Linked DNA regions of Daphnia pulex. The protein of the gene in region 1 binds, or shares a complex with, the protein of each later gene. Links are inferred from orthologs where the notes say so. Each region holds a gene or a part of one and is shown on either strand. Other genes may lie near its edges.

What was found.
Region 2: the proteins of GRB10-interacting GYF protein 2-like (region 1) and ATP-dependent RNA helicase me31b-like are in contact, whole or in part, in a crystal structure (PDB 6S8R), measured with the Drosophila melanogaster proteins. The link is inferred for Daphnia pulex from reciprocal best matches to the Drosophila melanogaster genes Gyf and me31B. Residues at the interface, in NP_001162827.1 of Drosophila melanogaster: Glu344, Asn345, Pro347, Glu348, Trp349, Ala350, Ile351, Glu352, Pro354, Ser355, Lys356, Leu357, Gly358, Gly359, Ser360, Phe361, Asp362, Ala363, Ser364, Gly365, Ala366, Phe367, Gly369; in NP_523533.2 of Drosophila melanogaster: Tyr274, Ala275, Phe276, Val277, Glu279, Arg280, Gln281, Lys282, Val283, His284, Cys285, Thr288, Leu289, Ser304, Thr305, Gln306, Arg307, Leu310, Leu311, Lys314, Glu317, Leu318, Phe370, Pro420, Ile421, Lys423.

The regions. Positions count from the first base shown.
Region 1 is NC_060018.1:13,102,046-13,105,647, reverse strand, and holds the end of GRB10-interacting GYF protein 2-like, read right to left. Parts: coding exon 2,651-3,602; intron 2,587-2,650; coding exon 1,225-2,586; intron 1,150-1,224; coding exon 940-1,149; intron 871-939; coding exon 748-870; 3' UTR 525-747; downstream 1-524.
Region 2 is NC_060018.1:12,397,827-12,401,577, forward strand, and holds ATP-dependent RNA helicase me31b-like, read right to left. Parts: upstream 2,473-3,751; coding exon 2,378-2,472; intron 2,315-2,377; coding exon 2,242-2,314; intron 2,180-2,241; coding exon 1,945-2,179; intron 1,887-1,944; coding exon 1,743-1,886; intron 1,685-1,742; coding exon 1,590-1,684; intron 1,530-1,589; coding exon 1,407-1,529; intron 1,350-1,406; coding exon 1,221-1,349; intron 1,061-1,220; coding exon 880-1,060; intron 711-879; coding exon 499-710; intron 435-498; coding exon 369-434; downstream 1-368. UniProt on the Drosophila melanogaster protein: ATP-dependent RNA helicase which is a core component of a variety of ribonucleoprotein complexes (RNPs) that play critical roles in translational repression and mRNA decapping during embryogenesis, oogenesis, neurogenesis and neurotransmission.

The DNA of each region.
Region 1 (3,602 bases):
CTAAATTATATTTTATCCTTGTATTTTTCTAAATTATATTTCTATTTTCGGAAACTGCTTTTAGCTATTTACCCATGAGAAATCAATAAAACTATTTCATCACGTTTTTCTTTTGAATTGTGGTCAAAATCAATGAGAATATTGAACGAAACATCCGGAAATCTCGAGAAAAAGAATACCCTTTTGGAAACTATCCAACAAAATTAAAGTTACCAAATTTCCCGTGGAAACTCTTAAAATTTTTGTGTTTTGTACGGAAAAAAAACAAACAATCCCACGAAAACATTAAACAAGTTGGCACTCATGCGGTGCTTATACTAATGAACTAAACGTTAAAGGAAATGCTACGAGAATTGAAAAACAATTTTTTTTTAAGATGTTTGTATTTGATTCGTGACCAAGATCAAATTGATATTTTTTGATTCAGTGCCGAAAAATTGTAACAGAACAAAATGTCCAGCCCTGATTCTTTTCTGCTGGTGAGGGATAACGAAAAGAACTTGATCACGTTTATATTTTTGTTAACTTTTATTGCTGCCCACCAACTTTCCACACTCAAGACGTTTTGAAATTGTTGCTGTTGGTGTGTTTGTTGCGTAAAACTTGTTGTGTGTCGACATCTTAATTGTCCATCCCTAAACCCCAATAAACAATAATCATATTGGTTGCTTTATAAGTTTGAACTCGTCTCTTGTCGTGTGTGGTCGTTGATTTTATCTTTTTTTTTTGGCTTTCTTTAACAATGATTCACATGCCGTCCACGAAATCGCGCTCACCGACGTTGATGCGATCCGTCGAAGCAGAAACGCTGAATCCCAACAAACTGGCATCCACTTTCTGCATCTTCTTCTTAGACTTCTTGGATTTAGACTAAAACGGAACATTTTCATTAGTGAAATGGTAGAGACAACGTTTTATCTTTTATTTTTAAATAATTACTTTAACTTCATGGAAGTCAGATGATTGTCCCGGATTTATGGCTTTGGCCGGGATGCACATGTTGTCCTCTTCGTATTGCTGGACGTTTCTTTGCATCTGGCGCCAACGAGAACGTTGATCAAGGAATTGCTTGGCGAACTCTTTGGCGTCTTTGCCCTCGCCAAGATACAAGCGAACATACTCCTGGACTTCAAATGGAGATTCCACGTCCTGTAATAAATGTAATCAAGAAAAAAAAATGTAGTCAAGAAACATTAACGACCCGACTCAAAAGATTAACTGTACCTTGAGAAAGGCGACAAATGTGGGCACATCAATCTGTGCCTGGACTTTCTTCAGGTACTCAAAACACCACTGACTAAAACTATCCTTCTTTTCAGCGGCGGCGGCGGCAGTTTGATTAAACAGCTTGCGAACCGCTTCTTCCTCCTTATTACTGCGGTTCTTGTTGTTCGACGCCGCCGCCGTCGTCGTCGAACCCGACGTTTTGGAAGTGGCCGGTTGTTGTTGTTGTTGCTTAGCTCCCGCTGCTTGTTGTTGCGGCTGCTTGGACGCCGCAGCCGCCGCAGCAGACTTGCCACCACCACCGCCAGCAGACTTGGCCGCCGCTTGCTGCTGAGCCGGTTTGCTCGTGGCCTTTGGAGGTGGAGGGGTTGGATCCTCCCAGAAACCAACCGTCAGGCCAATTTTCCAGTCGGCATTCGTGGTGGTGGAATGATTGGTTTTGGCGGTGGTGGTGGCCGCCGTCGCCGCTGCCGCCGAAGGGGGAGGTGGTGGGGGTTGCTGTTGGGCCACAACAGCGGCAACAGTCCGGCCAGAACTCCAAGCCGAATTACTGTGGTGCGATGACCCCCAAGCGCTGGCTGCCGCCAGATTCAGGTGCGCCATGTTCACCTGCTGGTTGGCCTTTTCTTTGGCTTCCTTCTCCTTTTGCTGGGCAAGTTGAGCTGCCTCCTCGGCCTGAATCTCGGCCAGAGACTTGGCGTTGGATGGGGTCGGAGTGTTTTGTTTGGCCCAGCGGAGCTTAATGGCCGCTTGCTGTTGTTGCTGCTGTAAAAGAGCGGCCGCACGAGCCGCCTGCTCGGCCTTTTGGGCCTGGGCGATTGCCCTTTCTTTGGCTTCCTTTTCTTCCTGCAACTTTTGAATTTCAGCCATGCTCAGCGATTCACCGGTTTGCTGTTGCTGTTGTTGCTGCTGCTGCTGTTGTTGGGCCCACGGAGCCATCATGGCCTGAGCAGCTTTAGCCTGAGCTTGAGCCTGCGCCTGTTGTTGAGCGGCGGCGGCGGCTGCAGCAGCCGCTTGCTGGGCGGCCGCTCTAGCCTGAGCCTGAGCCACGGCTTGCTGCTCCTGAAGCCTCTGAAGGGCTTCCTGCTGGCGGCGGTGTTGTTCGGCCGCCTTCTCCTCCTCTTTCCGGATCCTTTCTTCTTCTCGCCGGATCCTTTCCTCTTCCAGTTGCTGTTGTTTCAACTCCTCCTCTCGTTTGCGCTTCTCCTCCTCGCGCCGCCGCTTCTCTTCCATGGCTTGCATTTGCTGTTGTTGCTGCTGCTGTTGTTGCGCCAGCTCTCTCCTCCTCATTTCTTCCGCTTGCTGCTGTCGTTCCGTCTCCCTTCGCATCTCTTCTATCCTCATCCTCTCTTCCTCCCTCTCCTGCAACAAGAAAAGTTAAAAATTAAAAACACAAACATTCGCAGCTTTATTTCTAAATATTTACTTGAATTTCAAGTCGTCGTCGACGTTCTTCTTCCTCCTCTTTCATCCGCTTCTCCTCCATCTCCCTGCGGTGCATTTCGGCGGCCATTTGCTGTTGATGTTGTTGCTCCATTTGGCGCTTTGCTTCCTCGACCTTGGCGCTTTCAAGATCCCAAACGGACGTCATGGGCGGCTGAAGCTCTGCAGGACCGGCCTGGAAGAGCGCAGAGTGATTGTGCCAGGGAACACCGACGCCAGGAGGCAGTCCATGGAAGCCCGGCGCCACGTGATTGCCCATCACTGGATCAACGATGGTTCCACCAACACTTTGGGCCGCTACATGATTGGCGTTCCATTGAGCTTGTTGGATGAGACTTTGGATGGGATCCAGGACAACCTGGGCTTCTTGTGGTTTAGGGTTATTCATGATGGAGCTGGTAGGAGGTTTCGAAACGACGGCCGGGGGCGATTTCGATTGCCCCAGCAACTGCTGGATAAACGCCTGAATCGGATCATGAGACTTCATCAGGTTGTTGGGATTGTTGGCAAGAGCTGGCTGCTCTAATACTGCTTGCGGTTGCTGATGATGCTGCTGGCTGAGATGGTTGACTAAAGAGTGCACAGACTGCTGCTGTTGTTGTTGTTGCTGCTGCTGATGCTGTTCTTTGCTGCGCTGAAGCTGAATCATTTCAGCTTGGAGTTTAGCTTGAGCCTCCATCTGGAGCCGCAATTGCTGGAGGACAGGATCACCCGGGAGTGGATGCGGCATGTTTGCCATGTGCTGGTTAACCACCTGCTGCTGCTGGATGGGCGACAGCGTGTTCCAGCCTTCCATCTGCGACAATTTGGCAATGATCGTCTGTTGCCTGAGCATGTGCTGCTGCTGCATCATTTGCTGCTGGAACATTTGCTGCTGGATGAGTTGCTGTTGGAGCATCTGCAGCTTCTCCTGCTCGGCCGACACCAGCGGATGC
Region 2 (3,751 bases), about 700 kb from region 1:
CATTCACGCAAAACATTGTACCCAAAAAAACAAAACAAAAACTTTTCTCCTAAACTGAAAAAAAAACTGGCTCTTCGCCACCGTGAGAATTTACATATTTACAACAGTCTTTCGATAGCGCATGCTTAAAGTTATCCTTGTTTTTACTCTTGTACAATGGTTTTTTTCCCTACATGCTGCAGCACTCCTCCAATTGCTAATGAGTGCTTTTCATTAATTCTGATCTTCAATACATTGGTCCCAGTGAACGACCTTTCATAAATTTCACTTACAGGATTCATTTTCTTTTCTTTTTTCTCAATTTTTTTTTGTGTCCTATCATGACGTTGTGTGATGCATGCGCTTTTCGAAGACATTCTCTCGCCTTTTTACTTTCCTGATTGCTCCTCGGAATCTTCTTGGAACTCGGCCACGTAGAGGGATTTGTCAATGACCTTCATTGAAAAAATAAAACAATGTAAATACAATGAATACTTGCACGAGATATCCAAGACTAACCTTAGGAATGGGCTTGATTTCAGTGCTAAGTTCACTCTCAATGCGATGCAGGGCGAAACGATCTTCATAAGTAATCAGATTGATAGCAATACCCAGGTGTCCAAACCGACCCGAACGACCAATCCTGTGCAGGTAAGTTTCAGCCATCTTGGGAAAGTCGAAGTTGATGACCACGTTCACAGCTTGAATGTCAATACCACGAGTGAACAAATCTGTTATAAAAACGCAAAAGATTAGTTTCAACATCCTTTTCTCTTCTTGGCTTCACATTATTAAATGAATCAGATGTTGATTTTCTTTCAGACGAAAGAAGGGGAATCCAACAAAAAGTTCATCATAACAGTCGAGCACTTAACATTACAAAGATGAAGCAAATCTTACCGGAGCACACGAGGTTACGGCACAGCCCATTACGGAAATCATGGAAGACGCGGTTTCTGTGAGCTTGCTGCATACGGGCATGAATGTAATAGCACGAGTAGCCCAGCTCAGTGATCTTCTTAGCCAAAAGTTCCACACGTTGAGTGGAGTTGCAGAAGATAATACTTTGATTGATCTGCAACTATAATATCAACACAGATATTAATATCGTGACTTTAAAACACAGCAGTTAAAATTAATTCAAGTAAAATCAGGTGTTGATTTTCTCTCAGACGAGAGAAGGGGAATCCAACAATAACTCATCAGTCTTATACTGAAAATCTAAATAAACCTTTACTTACTTTAGAAAACAGCGTATTGAGGCAGTGCACTTTTTGCCGTTCTTGGACAAAAGCGTAGTATTGCGTGACACCTTTCAGTGTTAGTTCTTCCATCAAATTGATTTCATATGGGTTATCAATGTGTTTCCTCTGTGGATACAATCATTGTTAAATCAAGAACCAAATTACAAGAACCAATAAACCTACCATAAACTCCTCGACAGTTACAGGGAAAGTTGCCGAATAAAGCAAAATTTGGCGCTTGGCTGGTAGGAACGAAATTATACGATCCAACATTCCCATGAAGTCTTGAGAGAGCAGTTTGTCAGCCTAGTTACACAAAAGAATAAGAACAATCGTCTAACAGAACTCTTAATAATTCCCACATACCTCATCCAAAACAAGGACCTTACAACGGTCCATTACCGCAATCTTCTTTTCCATCAGATCCAAAACACGACCAGGAGTGGCAATCACAACATGAACTGGAAGAAACAATGATTGTTAAAACTTGCATGGAAGTAAACAAGGAATAATGAATACCTTTTCCAAAGATCCTCATAATGTCATCTTTCAGGTCAGTACCACCAGTAGTCACCATGATACGAATATCCAAATGTTTAGCTAGTTCAATGCAGATTTGGCTTGTTTGCAATGCCAGTTCACGTGTTGGCACAACAATTAATGCTACAAAGAAAAAAAAATTAGGCCCAGAACTGTAAGAAAAACTTAAACTTGTCAGTACCTTGGATGTGTTGCTCAGACGGAACTACTTGTTCCAATACTGGTATACAATAAGCACCTGTTTTTCCAGTTCCATTCTTAGCACGAGCCAGGATATTACGCCCAGTCAGAGCCATAGGAATTCCAACCTCTTGAATGGGTGAAGGTGTCTCCCATCCCTTTTCAAAGATACCCATCAACAATTCACGCTTCAGACAAAAGTCTTCAAAACTTGTTCCCTTAGTGTTGGTAACATCCTGAAATTAAACCAAAAATTTAACCCCCAACTCTCATAGATGTTTGAATGAAAGAATATTACGCTAGTCTGTTTTCTACGATCCTTGGGTGGGATCTTCAACTGAGACTTCCAGAAATTGTCAGAGTTATTCTCTCTAAAATATTAACAAAAACAGTCATGAAATACGAACAAAGAACACATGATTTTTAAGACTTACTGCTTCGCAATTAGCGGCTGAGGACTGGGTCTCATCGGCGAAAGGGCATGATTGTTGGCCACTAAGCTTGGCTGACTAGCAACGGCTTCTGCCATGGTTTTCTCTTCTTTTCTTTTTCTTCTTACTTAACAAAACTTTCGAGCAAAATGCCGAATTCCTTCTTCAACAACGATCACTTGAACTTAAGTTTCTCCAACGAAGGCGAACGATTTCTGCAAACGAAAATAACGTGAAACCAAAGAAGCAGGAACTATGGCTTCAGTCTTCTGTGCACATACAAACGTCGCTTACTAAACCTGAAATAAAATGAGAAAAATCGAATCTGTCAATGGCGGTAAGTCAACAGAATCGGCGTCCATATACACAAAGACTTTTGATCGTGTAACACTGAAGCATTCAATTTCGAATAAAATAAATCTCAGCAAATGACAAACTGACCTAGTAGACCAGTAGTTGAGATATAATAGACAAGTTTTTAAACACGAGCAAGGATGTCAACGGATAAAGAATTGGTTTATCTGAGAAACAGTGTTCACTATGGCGCTCTACGCATCGAAAGCAAAGCAGCGACTGTTTGTGAGTGAGTCAGTCCACAGATAGGGGGAGGGTCGTGACAAACAAGTTAGAGCAAGCAAAACAAAACTTGGATAATATTCAACAATTGACATCACTCAAAATGAAGAAATTAAGAGAAGAAAATATACCAACCTTACGAAGATGTTGACTAAATTGGAAAATAATTAACAAGTGTGTCAATGTTCGGGAACAATGTCTATCTATTTTGCGCGAGAGTCGAAAGGGATCTGAGTAGAGATAGTAGTCGAAGTCTCTGTTTAGTCCTCCTGGTGGCGGTTAGAGGTAATGAAACATCCCTTCAGGGCTTACTCGTGCCTGGCTTAAGGGGGGAGGCGGGAGGATAGGTATATTGAGTTCCACGTCGCCAAATTGTAGAGCATCTAGGGAATTTCAATTATATTAATTCGATAATTTTTATTATTTATTAAATGAATGAAGATCAGGTGTTGTTTAAAAATATCGTTTATTATTTAATTCTCTATCAATAAAAAAAGGCACGTCATAGGGACTAGGCGTGAGTTAATAATCTATAAAATTGCTGCACATCGTGGAGTTAGTAGAAATGCAATAGAAATTGAAGAAACGCATGTGATTGAAACACTCTTTACAAATTGTATAATAGCTTTCCCACAATTCATTAATAGTGGTATGTTATGAAAAAAAGCAAGCAAATAATGGTTGGTGATCATATGAATTGCCTAAGTATCACAAAAATGGAGGAACATGTTGATTGGCTTGTTCATCTTTCAACAATTGAATCAAAGGCCGAATGCATCGTGTGTGTGTGTGTGTTTTAAA